Lepisosteus oculatus: one gene and its partner. The protein of the gene in region 2 interacts with the protein of the main gene of each other region in a pairwise test. Links are inferred from orthologs where the notes say so. Each region holds a gene or a part of one and is shown on either strand. Other genes may lie near its edges. The genes, in order: tbc1d25 and rab2a.

Region 1 (7,553 bases), on a different chromosome or scaffold from region 2:
GTGGTGGAGGGGAGTCCCCATTACCTGTAAAGCGCTTTGAGTGGAGTGTCCAGAAAAGCGCTATATAAGTGTAAGCAATTATTATTATTATTATTATTATTACTCGCTCAGCAAGGTCGCTCGGTCCTGTGTTTCTGTCTTTCCGAGTCTGGCCGCTAGATGTCAGTGCGGTGACGCCGGTTGCCGTTGCTAGGAGCCACGACAGCTGAGTTCCTGTTGTCCGTGTCGACGTCACCGGAAGTGCGGCGACAGGGAAATTGCACGGTGCTGCAGGGAGACGGCGGCAGGTGAAGATTGGAGTTAAATTCATTTCATTCAAAATGCAGAATGGTTATTGTAAAAAGGGAGGATTTAATTAGGCTATATTCCTAGCCGCTTGTGCACATTTGAGTGAGTTTTAGTATCAGAGATAAAATGATGAGCACAAAACAGAGAAAAAGTTCTAATTGGTGTTCTGTAGAGTATATGCAGTCAGTTGTTTTTCCCGATCTATCCCTTCTTGTGATAAATGCTGAAGACACCGTTGCTGAATTACTTGCCCTCAATGAGCTGGCGCTTAGCTTAGTAGCAGCAGCGATCAGTTACTAACGGGCTCCCAGCGACGAGGCGTACAGCCTCACATTCACCCCTGTGGACTGCAGCCGTGCAGGTCTCGTCTGGGCTGGGCCGGCTCCGGTGTGCGGGTACCCCGGCCAGGCTCTCAGTGTGCTGCGCTTGATCCCTCTGTTTCCCGGGCCGCTGCCGCGGGTCGCCCTGAGGATGCAGGGGAGAGGAGCTGCCAGTTCGTGGGTCTCGGTCACCCCCAGCGGGTGGAGGGCGGTGAGCAGGAGGACTCTGGAGAGGGGATCGGGCGTTGAGACCCCCAAGCTGGGCTCGGTGTGCCGAGTCAGGGTCCAGTCCCTGGCAGCGGATGATCCGGGGGCGCAGGCCGACAGGCCGACTGGTGTGGACGCCCAGCAGCGTCAGGAGGACACCCACACTGCGGGGCTCGACGGGAGCCCCTCCTCTGTCCTGCAGGTTCCCCTCAGCGAGTGGGTCGAGCTGCGGCTGGGAGAGGGACAGTGCGACGTCATCGAGGGCTGTCTGGAGAGCATGAGGGCTGGAGGGGTGTGTGAGGTGAGGAGTCCGTCCCCACCAGGACTGACTGCAGGGTCTCTAGCTGGAGGAGTCCGTCCCCAGCAGGACTGACTGCAGGGTCTCTAGCTGGAGGAGTCCGTCCCCAGCAGGACTGACTGCAGGGTCTCTAGCTGGAGGGGTGTGTGATGTGCACAGACAGTCTGGTCCTTCTATTGACAAAGAGAGGATTGCAAGTTTGTATTTTCCAGGTGTGTCTCTGTTATTTGAAATAAGGAAACATTTGTATTTAAATTGCATTGTTTTTATAGTTCATTCCCCATGGGTGTGTGCTTGTTCTAGCAGTGTACATTAACCTGGTAGGAATTATTTGCTCCTTTGAATATGAAAAACATTTGTCATGGAAAGACAGATCGAGGTGTTTGTAAGTCATGGTAACACACGAGTGCACAGTGATAACCGGACCTCTGATATTTAGAATAATGTCTGACATTGAGGATGAATGTGTTAAAAGGTGCACAGACAGATTATCTGGGTGTTAAAGAGGAGGGCAGTCTGTTCACTGGTATTCCTGCTTTCTACTGTAGTTGTAGGCTGTTCCGGTCGTGCTGTGCACTGGGATTCCTCTTTCAAACGGAAGCACTTGTGTGTTTGACTGGGACTAAGAAAACTCGGGGATCTGTGTCCTGTTCTGAGTGGATCAGCTTCTTTCATTCCTTTAGACAGAATGCTGACTAGTCAGAGTCACAATTAGCTTTTGATTTACCTGCTTTCAAACGGTAAATAATCAAACTCTAATTCTTCACAGCGCAGCCGATCGTTGTTAACCTTGTGTCCACACTCTTCCTCTGAAACCACAGCTGCTGGTGACAGCCCTGGACAGCAACACGGGACCCGAGGGGCGAGTGGCGCAGCGGGGCGGAGGTCAGGGGGCGCAGCCTGGGTGGCGGGACGGGGCGCCTCCTCCCCCCTGCCAGCGCCTCCGAGTGGAGCTGCAGTCCTTCAGCCCCGGCCGGGAGTCCTGGGAGATGAGCCTGCCGGAGAAGTGGGCCTGGATCAGGGCTCACAAGCAGAGGGGCGGCGAGAGGTTCCGGGCGGGGGACGTGTGGGGGGCCGCCGACTGCTACGGCAGGGCGCTGCGGCTGCTGGCCACCCTGAGCAGGGGGGGGGCGGGAGCCAGCGGTGCGCTGGGCTCGAGCCCGGACGATCAGGGGGACGAGGACAAAGCCACCGAGGGCCAGATCGTCTCGGAGGGGGAGTACCGGAGGGTCAGGTCCGAGCTTCACGCCAACATGTCCCTGTGCCAACTCAAGCTCGGCCAGCCTCACAAGGCCAGGGTCAGCGCTGCTCAGGCCACGGAGCTGGATCCGGCCAGCACCAAGGCCTGGTTCCGCCTGGGGCTGGCTTGCTCCGAGCTGGGGGAGCTGGATGCGGCCAGGACCGGACTCACAAGGGTTCTAGAGCTGCAGCCCGGCTCGGCGTCGGCCCTGAGGGCTCTGAGAGACATCGAGGCCAGAGAGAAGGCGATCAGCTGCCAGCTGGGCCGCGCGCTCAGCAAGATGTTCACCTAGAGGAGACGGGTGCAGGCAGGCGGCAGCCCGTCACACAGACGCTGGAGCATCGCCATTGGCTTAGCGTTGAGCTCCTGTACAGATCACACAGACTGCAAACCGCAAATACCACAAAAGAACAAGTAAAGGGTTTTTCCATGTTGAAAAGAGAAGAAAAGAAACGCAACGTTTCAGCTGTGGAGCCTTCTTCAGGTGTCGCACACACCTCCATGGAATAAGTGTTTACTTGTTCCTTTGCAGACTATGCATGCTGACGCATATCCCTGCTTGAGCTACTTCAGCGAGTACTGCATTAATGTGTCCTGTTTAGCACGAGCAGCGCTGTTTGCATTGTTTGTGTCATATGTAATGAGTCTCTCAGTCTACAAGGCCGCTTACAGTGGAGGTGTTAAACAGTCCTGTGTGCTCCAGTGAGTGGCTCTAGAGAAGTGTGGGACAGGACTGCATCCTGCTGAGCCCCCACTGCTGGGCACTGCTGACGGAGAGACTCTTCTGATCCAGTCCAACACTGAAATATGCCACACTGCTTACAAAGACGTTGAAAGTAATTAGAAAGTGTCTGTCTTTCTGCATGGAGCATTACAAACACCCAGAGATACAGTCCTGTATAAGGTGCCATTACTGGTATACTTTTATAACTGTGGTAGTGCAGTTAACCTTGTGTGTAATAAAGATATCGATTGGAGCTAAGACTTGAGTAATTTTCTTTATTATAAGTGGGTTGAATTAGAGTCACGGAAGGACGCGTTCATGGAGAGTTTGTAAGTGTGCAGTTTGTGTTAACGTGTTCAGGTGCTGCAGCGCTGTGCCCTGCTGCAGTGAGGTTGGGCTTGGGGTCACAGGCTGGTGGGGATCTTCCTGAACCAGCTGCTGGGCGTGAGGCTGGCGTGATGAGGCACTGGGACTGGGACTGGGACAGGAAGCTGTGTTTGTGCTCGTCATGGCGGGGCTGCTGGACGAGTGCAGGAAGCCCCGGGACCCGACCACCCGAACCCGCCGGACAGTCACAGCAGCGGCAGTCTGTACACAAACGCGCACAGAGCCCTTCGGAAAGATCAACGCGCGTTCTGCGCCATCGGTGAACCAGATCTCCCCCGCAGCCCAACATGCCAGCAAATTGGCTTCTGATGCCGGTTTCGATGCAATGTTTCATATTTACAATTGATAAAATATACCCTTCGATATCGGATCAGTTATTTCAACAATAAAGCAGTGTTCAGTCTTTCTGTTTCTAACTGCACACCAGAGCAATCTGAAGGAGAAACTGCAGGAGCTCCTCTGAGCTGATGTCCAGGTGTCCGTGTTTCTGGGTCTTTCCCAGAAGACCACTGGGAGCCGCTCCTGTCCCGGACAGAGTCTGAGTCTCATTTCCCCTGTCTCTGCTTCTGCATATTCTTGTCAGAAAAATAAACATCGATCCTTTCTACTCTAAAGACAGCTTTAAGCTTTGCTTAAACTTCCAAAGGTCCCGGTCAGTATTTCTGTGATTGAAAGTGTCGGTATGGTAATGACTGTGATTCTTTTAGAAAGTCAGTTCTGAGACAGGTGTAGTATAGAGGTAACAGCAATTCTGTAGACTCAGGGGCAGCTGGTTCAGGTGTGTGACTACAGGGCTGTCATGCGGGCTGACAAGGACTGGAGTCTCAGTCCACGTGTTTGCGTCGGGAGCTCCGTCCCTTTAAACCCTCGGCCCGCGCGCGCGCCGCGGTTCCTGAATGATGTAATGCCAGTGACGTCACATCCTGGAGAGCGAGGAGGAGGCGGCCCGACGCAAACAGCTGTGGGCCAACATGACACAGTGAGGTTTCTGTTTTCAAAAGAAGGAGAAAAAAAAAACCCACGGAATTAAGGAGCCGGCAGGTTAAAGAGCGAATCGAGATCAGCATCGTCGCGGCGGTGAGCGCGGCCGCTGGGCGCCATGGCGGGCGAGGAGGAGAGGGGGGTCGTGCGAGTCCGGGTAAAGGTGAGAGTCGCCCCGACAATAACTCGCAGTGAGCCCGGGGCAGGCGCCCCCCGCAGCACCCCGAGAGCTGCTGCTGTCCAGCCCGGCCGGCTGTGGCGTGTTGGCTCTGGGCTGTTGTTGTGACCCCATTTGACAGAGGCGACAGCCGCGGTCTCCGGTCAGCCGGTTATACGGTTATGTCTGGAGTGAGCGTCAGGTAAGGCAAGTCAGGGGGAAAAAAAGAGGACCGTTTTAAGTGAATAAGCTGCCATTTTGTCGTTTTGTACCAGCGGCCACATAAAAACGAGGCAGGGCGCGCTTGTCCTGGACACGGAGGGCGAAAGACGACGCAGCCCGCAGTCCTGGGCTGTGCGCGGCGGTGGGGGTCGCCAGCTGCCCGGCTGGCCCTCCGCGGGTCTGGACGAACGGGCAGCTGTGCGGTTGAATTCGGCCCCGGGTACTCCTGAGCAAACTGCCCCTGGAAGTAAGAGCTCAACGCTTTCCTTCTGCGGCCGTGCAGACGAGCAGAGCTGCTCTTGTGTCCGGGAGACTGGACCTGACCCGGCGCAGCGGGGAGCCGGACCGGGGTCAGGTGTCAACAGGGCCCCCTTGTCTTTGTGTCGCTGCACGTGGTACATCCTAGGACAGGTGTTGCCTTGGCAGAAGAGAATATACGGTGCTAAATGAGAGTCAGCTGTGCTTTGAGTTGTGGTTTTAATCAGCGGTGACCCGCAGGGAGACAAACCCAGGACATCCTGACAGGAGTTCGCCTGCAGGTTTGTCTCTTTGCCAAAGGCCAGTCGTGTAGGGCTAGAGCAGACCTTGCTGGCTCTGGCTTGTCTGAGCTGCGCTGCCTTCTCTCCCTCTATGTCCTCTTGTCTCTCCTTACAGCTGTTTATCCAGACATTTTCTAACCTCTGTATCCAATTCAGGGGCGTGGGGGGGGGCAGGAGTGTATCCTGGCAAATGGGCGCAAGTCAGGACACCAGTCCGTCACAGCGCTGACGCACAGAGACACACACACTCGCACCAGGACTGGTGTTCTCAGAAGCCAATTTACCACTTGCATGTCTTTGGACTGTGGGGAAACAACCCACACAAACTTGAGGAGAACATACTAACTCCACACAGGTTGTACCCCAGATCTGAAATTGGCTCCGGGCCTCAGCGCTGTGAGGCAGCAGTGCTCACCACTGTTCCATTGTGCAGCTGTTCAGTGGTATGAAAATGTATTTGCATGTTTCATGCTTTCCTAAATGGGTATACTTAGCTGGGTTGAGTAACACCATTTCTACATTGCAGACCGTTTTGACCGAGTACCTCTCTTGCAAGACGGCGCACGTGAACTGTGCTTGTTTCGCTCTCTCACTCGGCCGGAGCCCCCCTGACTGTGTCTCTCTCTCCCTGGCAGAAGTGTGAGGGTGTCCTGCCTGCGGAGTACCGCTCCTTCGCTGTGGACCCCCAGATCACCTCCCTGGAAGTGCTGCAGCACATCCTCATCCGGGCCTTTGAGCTCAACGGGTCAGCAGGGGGCGCTCGGGGCGAGGGGGCAGGGAGAGGGTCTGTGTGTATGAGGTGTTGGGGAACCCAGCGGATCTCAGAACAAAAGACAGTTTGCAGATAAGAGGAAGGCATTTGGCTCCTCTGCCCCGTCTGTTTTTTGGAAGTTTAAATATGACCTGATCCGGGCGTATCTCGGAAGAAATAATTATCGTTTTTCCTGCTCCTCACATCCCTTTGTGTGGAGTATTCTCGGATGCGAATGTACTTGCGTCCCCTGGTTCAGTGCTGGTTCTGATTGAGTCACTGGGCTGGCAGTGACGTGCAGAAGAGCAGAGTTTGCCTGCGCTCCCTAGTGAGCTCCGTCTTCAGTGAGCTGTAGGTCCCGGAGATTCCAGCCCGTCTGGGAGAACAAGCTCCCAGATGGAAATGAGGCTGCTCCAGCAGTGCGGACAGCTCCGCCTGCCCTGTCCCGCACAGCACAACACCCGGAGCTGAAACCCACTCTGGAACAGTGAGCTCCAGGGACACCGATTGTGTCAGATTTTTTAAGTTAATACATTTTTGGTAGTTAAATAATTAATCATTATAGATATGTTTATAAATGTTAAATGTTGGTTAATTAAGTATTGGTAGAAACTAAAGCTAATCTCTTCAAAACTGTACTTTCTTGTACTCTGTTGCATATGACAGAGTAGATCTTTTTACAGTTAACTACTGTGCAAAGAGAAACCGTTATCACCAGTGTCTATTGCACTGGTGTTACTCTCTCTTACAGGAAACACGTTAACGTGAGTCAGAGTTAAACGCCTTAAGTTGGGTATTGGGCTGAAATTGTTGCTGTGCTTCAGGGCTGAGGTCTCTATGGCATGTTCAGATTGAATTGTTCTGGGGTGTGCAGTGCCCTGCAGCGTGACTGAAGCTCGCTCTCTCCATTACGATCGTTCAGGAAACGGAATTTTGGGATCAGCTATCTGTCGCGGGACAAGCAGGGGGTGGAGGCGTACCTGTCGCTCATGTCGGACTGGGACCTGGACGCGGCCTTCGTCAGCGCTGCCAAGCCCTACCTGCAGCTCAAAATCGAGATCAAGCCCTCCGAAGACAGTGAGAGGCGTCTTCTGCTTGTGTTCGCTTGGCACTTTCTGCCTTTGATTTTGTTAAAAAAAAACCTCCATAGAAAAGCGTCATTTCTTTGTATTTGTGATCCAGTCTCCCGCAACCAGCACGTTGATCTTCTTAGACCTTTATTGATTTTTTTCAGTTAATTTACGAGAACGGTTTTAGAAAATCCTGAGATTTGAGCATGTAATAAGCACAATATAATCCTTTGTCTCTTTGAGACGTTAATACCCAGTGTGAATTGTTGAAATAAATGTAGCACAGCCTGAACTGCCCTCGTGCACATAGTGGTGTGTAAGAGGAGTGGATTACCGGTGCTGCACGCTGTTCGGGGCCGAACACTAATG
Region 2 (8,098 bases):
TTTGTACAGATCACACCTTCCTTATCATTTATTATTTAAATAAAATTCCAATAAACGCCTGAAAAACTATTTTGTCTGATTTTCAGATGCTAAATAAGACTGTGATAAGGGGCGGTTTTATTATGGAAGTTGTATGGAGGAAGTCTGGAAGCAGCGCGTGATGAAACATGAGCTGAACTTGTGAAAATGTTCGGCCTCTTTTTTTTAAAGTATTCAAGCTCATTTCTTGAAACAGTATTTTAAAGCCTATTGAAAGAGTTTTTTAAAGAAAAGAGAGACTACTGAAACTTTTTCTAATGAATATCGAATTGGCAAAGGGCATGACCTCAGGACTTCAGTCTTAAATCTAGATTTAACTTTTCTAAAACAAATCAAAACTACATTTTCCTTTCTCTGCCTGCGTCCTCATCTTGTCCGATTCTCTGTCGCTCTGCCTCTCATTCCTCCTCCCTCTCCTCCTCTGGATCCAAGACAGTCACCACCGAGCTTCAGTTTCACGGTCGTCTCTTCCTCCTCTAAAATATTACACGCCACATCCTTTAAAACACACGCTGTCCCACAGAGCTTGCACTACTTCTCCCATTACAGCCAAGAAGTAAACGAGACTCACTGCAAAGGCTTGTCTGCCAGTCTGGCAGACACGTTCCAACCCAAGAGAGACTTAAAGTTGGTCATTGCACTGATCAAAGACTACTACTGGCTCCAGAATTCTACCAGGATCATTTGCCTTTAAATACAGATGCACAGCAGCATGCGTTACCAGCCCTTTCTTCAGCACACCGCCCTCGTTAAGGGCATGGAATGCCCTGCAGGGAAACCTGGAGGACATGCGCTAAGTCAAATCCTTTCTGCCGGTTACTATGGAAGACACTGAGCAACAGGAGCGCACCAGCTCTCCACACCCTTGCTGGAGTGCAGTCCCAGATGGATATTCCACATTGCATGAGCTTTGAACTGCAGTACACAGTACACCCACCACATTTCTACCCTCTGTGCAATATCACATGCAACATCTGAACCATTGCATTATAAAATAAGTATTAGGGAGCTGTACCAATTCAGCCTTGCTGACACAGGCCTTGTGTCAATGTCTGCAGTTACCATTTTGAGGTTAGGCCATTTAAATGACTCAATAACATTTAACTGTGAGGCACAACTTTGGTACTTCTCAGCAAACACAGAAAAATAAGACTAGGAAAGAGGGTGCTATGACAGGCAATAACATTTCGTTGAAGACCTGGGTTTAGCCATGTGTGAAAAATAAGTGGCGTTGTTGGATTGAGCAGGGGACACTTGTATGTGAGTTTACTTCATAAACCAAAGTTTGAGACCACAGCAGCTAATTACTTCACATGTACATCTTGTGAGAAACACAATCCGATAACTTCTCAGGACTCTGGGAAAAATAATTTTAAAATCTACAGCAAAATTAAAGACAACATTTATATTGGTAATGTATGAAACCTGCATTTATATTGTTGTGCAAAGGGTAGCAGTTAAATCAAAATTCTGCAAATACTGACCTGGACATTACTATTTTGACTGGTATGATAAAGAGTTTATAACCGATTAATAAACCAACATCATAACCACACGTACTGCCACCAGGAATGCAGCTCACTGATGTATAAAGTAAATGATTAAATAATTAAATATAATACTATTCTAAGTCACTTAAAACTTATTCTACCAAGTGGCAAAATTAGTACTGAATTAATTCATTTAGGACATGGTGAGGATAACAGGCTGTGCGCAAGTTTTACTTCAATCTTCCTATGTGCCAGTCTATAAAATAAATACATTCTTAAAAAACGTTCTTTCCTTATTTCCAGATAATAACGTCCATGTCTATAAAGAATAGTTTTGTATCTATATTTTAAGCAAATTCGCAAAACGTTGATTTGCAGGGGATGACATATGCGAAGATTATTTTTGAAGCGGATCTGTAGGTTTAAATTAGTCGGATGCCATCTAGGAAAGTATGTTATAACCTGTGATGCTGAGATGGTAAGTGCGTTAAGAGAGGGTTTCACAACGAACAAGAGAGCAAACTAACACGGGCTTTCCTCCCCGTTTCAGCTAACAGAAATATAGCTGAAGAAGGCTGAAACCCGGTCAAGGTGTCGCACACCGCCTAAGCAACCCAAAAGATGAAAGGGCATCTTTATCACGAAATGACCAGGGTCTAGCGAAGGCCCGGACTTTTGTCAAGCCAGCATATGCGAAACAACCCACGGAGCTCCCCTGACAGCTAGGAGAACTGCAAGGCCAGTTTTTTTATTATTTTCCTCCAACCTCCGATTATACTATTTATTCCCCGCAGGTGGAACAGTGTGTTGCAGGTGAGCTGGCATGCACAAATATAACCCCCCCATCACCACCTAGGCCTACAAAAAAAACCTGTCGCCGATGATTTACATAACCGAAAAGCAGAGTCAACCCGAAGGCTGACAGTCTGCAAAACCGCTGAAAACGCCATTTTCCCCCCCAAAGCGAAAACATTTCCTTCCCCTGCAGACGTTAACACGACGACGGGCAGCCGGCGATCTGCGGGCGGACTCGTCCAACAGTTGCCCGTCTAGCCCCCCAGAGAGGGCCGGCGCATCTTGCTACACGGGTCCGTCTTCGCCGGAGCCATTTTCGGGGAAAGGGTTATTTGGTGTTTGCAATGCAATTAGCCCCCACCTCCCCTCCACCCTCGCCGCAATCGCAATGGAAAGACACAAGCAGGCCGGTGCCGAGGCGGCTGCTGTCAATTCACCTGCCAAATGGCAATTATGTCACCTTAGATCAGTTATTTTAACGGGGGGGGAAGAAACTAAGCAGCCCTCCCACCCTAGCGTTCCTGTGCTTTTACCACGTCATTGACTCCAACACTGCGGAAATAAGAGAGAGACGTAAATGTCTCTCTCTCTCTTTTCCTACGCCGTCACACAGCGGCTGCTCACCCGTGTCTCCGATAATGATGTATTTGAAGAGATACGCGTATGCCATGGCCGCTGGGATGCTGTTTCTGCCCGGGTCTTGTGCTTTGCTCCCTCGCTGTGTTACTCGTTCAAGCTGTGGAGAGAGGAAGTGGCGGGGAAAAAGCCTGTGCTTTCTCTCAGTCTCACTCCGCTTCACCAGCCTCTTTCTCTTCGGCGACCAGAAGGAACAATAAACACCTCCGAGCTCCGGGCTGCCCACGTCACACGTTCCGCCTTCGCCACGCACGCAGAACACGCTCACATTGCTGCGCCCGGAAGTGCTGACATTGCTGCGCCCGAACCCGTATGTTAAGACGAGCGCCGACTGTCTGCTGTCTCTGTAGCCGTGCCGGCGCTAGTGCGCTGAGAATCTGTTTCACTGCTTTTTTGTTTAATTCTACATACTTACCCGCTTTGTTACTGACATCGCGTATGCCAAAGGTACAACACACAAAAATCCTATTCGAAATACAAGATGTATTTATCATGTGCCTTGTTGTTGAAATTAATTTGGCAATGCTTGAGTATTGGAATAATTCACCTATTACAGAGAGTTTAGACATACCAAAAAAGGCACGCAGGTTTTAAAACTTTACTTTTTGCCCTGTTCAAGGTTGGAAAGGTGTTCAGCAAAAAATGCTGAAATGTGTAAGAAAAGAATTCGTGATGTTAGGGATGAAGTCTGCATGTACTTCACAAACAAGACGTTTTAAAGTTTGTAGTCTCTGCAAACTTCCAAAAGTTCATTTGGAAGTGCCCAATGGAAAAAAAAACTGCCTGCTTCCACAAAAACTTAAAATAAAGTATGATATTAGAAACTATACTGGTAACATTAATGATTGCACAGCTTTGACAGTATTAGTGAATTAAAGAAGTCACAGGATTTTGTCATGCTGTCATGATAATATACATTTACTGTTGTGCTATAAGTTCTATAAAATTCTTCATTTCTACTGAGTAAAAATAATTCTGTGATATTTGATCAAATGCTTCTAACTTTTAAAGAATTTTCACAGGCTGACTCCTTAAGGGTGAGATTTACAGCTCCACAGTGTGAGATTCTGTAGAAAAAGCTAGTGCTGAAACCTATTCAGCTTCTGGGGTGAAACGATTACCTGTTCCAGTGCCCTGAATATTAATTATTTTTTTAATATTCACTTTAATTTCACTTTACTTGCAGGGAAGGTGTATATGAGTGCAATTTATGAAATTTAAGGACCTATGCCTGTGATTGTGAGATGACTTCAGAATGTGTGTTTCATTCTGGATATATGAGAAATCAGAGTCCTGGCACTTTGAGCTGTGCTTCTAGAAAAAATGGTAAACACATCCAGAACATGTATCTTATCTTATCTAAAGATGTAAGTTAGGATTTATTTGGGTTTTGAACCAGACACAAAGCGTTTGAGCAGGAGATAAATGGTTTCACACATAAATGTAACTAAATAATCTAAACAAAATTTAATAGAAGTAATAAACAACAGTGGTCAGATTTGGTATTCAAATGTTCAAACCGGGGAGAAACTTTGTTAAGCAGTTTACCCAACTGCATTGCTGAAAAGCCTTTTATCACCCCAAATTCAGACACAATTTGACTATGCCTCTGATTCTCCACTAGTTCTCAGACTATACTAGCTTATCCTGTCCTGCCATGTTCTCGGGAACTTAGCACAAACTGATCAAGTGCCTCACATTTGTTTATCTCAGTTCAAAAATACTGAGAGCATGGCACACACGGATGTAAAACCTCTAATCAAGCTTGCCAGGCACAATATCATGTCATGGCACACATTATTCCCTAAGCCTGTCTCACTATAAAAGGAGCAGTGGGTAGTTCTTGTTTTCAACCTGATTTTAGATGAAATAATACACCACATCAGGTTGCAAAATCTGGGCTTAGCCTTTTATGGTGTAGGAGATAATCCATGCCAATCATTTCTCCCTAAAAATAAGTTTCCTCGGACCTCCATCCCCATACAGCATTTTTCTGGGTGCTGCAACTTCCCAGACACCCTCAATAGCTGATTATCCCATTTTGGCCGCAACCTAAAACCGCCACTACTTGGGATCTTTGGAGTCTTCAATTAAGGCAACTGGAGTGTGATCCCGACTTGGGCACCACTCATTGATTGTGGCTGGGGACCATGTCTATCCGAAAAAGCATCCCAGCACGCTCTTTTTCCCACCCTCTTGCCCAATGCAGCCCATGTCCTGCCTGCCAGGGCTGTAGCTAATCCCTGTCATTGTAGTTCTGGCTGTTGGAGTTTGCACTGAGTCTCTGCACAACTCGCCTATCATGCGGGCTGCTTTTTTTATATTGCATGCCATTGCGATCAGTGTAGCACCAGCTGTTTCGCCATGACTTCTCCTCACCCGTGGGCTACCTTGGTGTTCTCACAGGATACACCTTTAGCTGTATCCTTCTGTGGTGTTGATCATGGCTGTCTGTACTATTCCTCTTTCCCTGAATCTCAGTTCTCTTTCATGAGGATCTCTACTAGACTTTCTAATTTGTCTGTTTTTTTTTCATTTTTCTCGTCTTGGCTTGAAGCTCTTAACCCTGCCATTGGTCACCAGAGAGACCTGGATTTCCCGGATTGTGTCGTCTGCATAGGGTCCTGGAAGAATGCTTTCGTTACAGTTCCATTCCTCATCAACAGTAGAAAGCCGAAAAAGTCCTGGCCAGCTAATCTCACCCTACTGTCATGGTCACACAGCTCCTTGTGCATCTTGCATTGCAGAATCCCAGTTACAGCAAGAGACAGAGTGACAGCCAATAAGGTCAACCAGAAGCGTAAGCCTAATGTGATGGAGTCAGCAAACACAGTCTGGGCTGGGGCAGTCATGAGGAGTGAAGGGGACGGAAAGGGGATTGGCTTGGCACCTGTCCCAGCAGCGCTTAAAGTAGTGGGAAAGGCCATTGACGCCACAACCTTTCTCTTCACAAACCCAGAGGAGGAAGCCATTGCCCTGTCATTGATGACACCTGTCCCTGAGACTCCATCAGGTAATGAAGTAAGTCACCTGCACAACGACACTGAATTCCCCGTATTCTCTGTATCACTGTGTATTACTCTATTTACTGTATTGCTCTGTATTACTCTGTATATGCCAGCAGCCATATCACCCTGCAACTCACATCTGGCAGCCCACTGAAGCTCAGCAGGTGTGAGCCTGGTCAGTACCTGCCAGCCAGGCGGAGTGCTGGCACTGTGGCTAAGGATCTGCACCTGTGGCTGGAAGGTTGCCGGTTCAAATCCTGCAACCGGCAGAGGAATCTAACTCCATTGGGCCCCTGAACAAGGCCCTTAACCCCAGGTGCTATAGGGGTGCTATACAATCTGACCCCAAGCTTCTCTCTCCCTGTCTGTATCTTATGGAGAGCAAGCTGGGGTATGTGAAAAGACAAATTCCTAACGCAGGAAATTGTATATGGCTAATAAAGTGATCTTATCTTATCTTACCTGGATGAGAGACCTCCTGGGAAAACCTAAGGTTGCTTCTGGAAGAGGTGTTAGTGGGGCCAGCAGGGGGCGCTTACTCTGTGGTCTACGTGGGTCTTAATGCCCCAGTATAGTGACGGGGAAACTATACTGTAAAAAGGCGCTGTCCTTCGGATGAGACTTAAAACTGAGGTCCTGACTCTCTGTGGTCATTAAAAATCCCAGGGCGTTTCTTGAAAAGAGTAGGGGTATAACCAAAATCCCCATCTATGAACTGGCTTCATCACTCTGTTCTCCTCAGTGTGTGGTGAGTGTTCTGGCGCACTATGGCTGCCGTTGCATCATCCAGGCGGGACTGGACATAGGTGGTGGTGGAGGAGAGTACCCATTATCCGTAAAGTGCTTTGAGTTATGTATCAAGAAAAGCGCTATATAAGTGTAAGCAATTATTATTATTATAGTTGGCTAGTGACACGACCCGGAACTGAATCCATGATCACAGAGTTCAGCTGTATTAAAAATAATGGAATTTCTTAGTGCCTTAAAAAGATTGTGTTGATTGGGAATGTACATGTATATTTGTATGTATTTCTGTTTCTATAGTATATTTTGTAATGTCTGTAATCACAGATAATCAGAGACCAAAAATAGAATTCTGGGTCACATTTTGCAGGGACCAAAATAGCAGGAAATACAGAACCAGTCTGCATGTGTGAGAAAAAAACACAAATGTATTCCACGTTCCAGGACTAAGAGAAAATTCCAAAGCTATAAAATGCAAATGGTATCAGAGAAAGCCTTCAGAGGACTTCCTCTCTTAACCTTAAGCTGTGGGTTAGTAGAGGAATGAGAAAATACAGGAAGGTAAGCGAAACATAAAAGGAAGATTTGTAAGATGAAAGGACTTGTAAAGTTAAAAGGAAAGTAAAGAAGTAGGTATAAGAGGAAACAGAAAAGGAAAAGAAGAGGTATGATAACCAAACCATATAACAGTTATCTATTTCTCATATTTTGGATACTGTATATTCAGAAGAAGAGACTTTTGATGTGTTAAAATCATTTAAGTCGTTAAATATGGACGTAAATGTAACTCAAATGTGTTGTTCCATGTTGGGTTGAACTAAGAGATAAAGAATGTTTTGTGTTAATTGAGATGAAAGTGTTGGGGCAGTTTTCAAAATGTCTGCCACTGGCTGTTAACAGAAGAAGGACACTAATCTTCAACTAACACATCCAGAAATAGAAATTGGGGAATTTTCAGAATGAAGTAGACTATGTATACAACATACACAGTAATGCTGGATTTGTGTTATGTTTTTTGGGCTGAAACCCAGGTCTTAACAAACTTCGATGCATCTATCAATCAGGAAATATAGATTACAACTGAAAAATCCAGTGCTTCCGTTCCAAGGAAGACACCTCTAGCAAACTAACAGCTGTCATGAAAACTGGGATTTGTAATTTGAGATTGTTGACTGGGCAGACATTTTGAAGTGAATGCAGGGATAATAGTTTTTTTTTCTACTTTGCAATCAAATACAATTTCAGTTTAAGGTGGTGGTGCTTCTTTCTCCCTAAAGGATTTTGCGAGTATTGTAGCCTTTTTTATTGTATAGATTGTGTTATTTAAGGGGCTTACACGGATAACATTGCATAAAACACAAAATTTGCTTTTGCTTTTAAAAGCAT

The links.
Region 1: the proteins of rab2a (region 2) and tbc1d25 interact in binary tests that used the Homo sapiens proteins (3 or more experiments, as listed by UniProt). The link is inferred for Lepisosteus oculatus from reciprocal best matches to the Homo sapiens genes RAB2A and TBC1D25.

What each region holds. Positions count from the first base shown.
Region 1 is NC_090697.1:77,793,412-77,800,964, forward strand, and holds the start of tbc1d25 (TBC1 domain family member 25), read left to right. Parts: upstream 1-4,371; 5' UTR 4,372-4,563; coding exon 4,564-4,608; intron 4,609-4,877; exon of another isoform or gene 4,878-5,071; intron 5,072-5,998; coding exon 5,999-6,108; intron 6,109-7,036; coding exon 7,037-7,191; intron 7,192-7,553. Other genes in the region: fkbpl (FK506-binding protein-like), read left to right, coding at 760-1,116, 1,935-2,645. UniProt on the Homo sapiens protein: Acts as a GTPase-activating protein specific for RAB33B. Involved in the regulation of autophagosome maturation, the process in which autophagosomes fuse with endosomes and lysosomes.
Region 2 is NC_090701.1:50,091,922-50,100,019, reverse strand, and holds the start of rab2a (ras-related protein Rab-2A), read right to left. Parts: upstream 3,153-8,098; 5' UTR 2,995-3,152; coding exon 2,949-2,994; intron 1-2,948.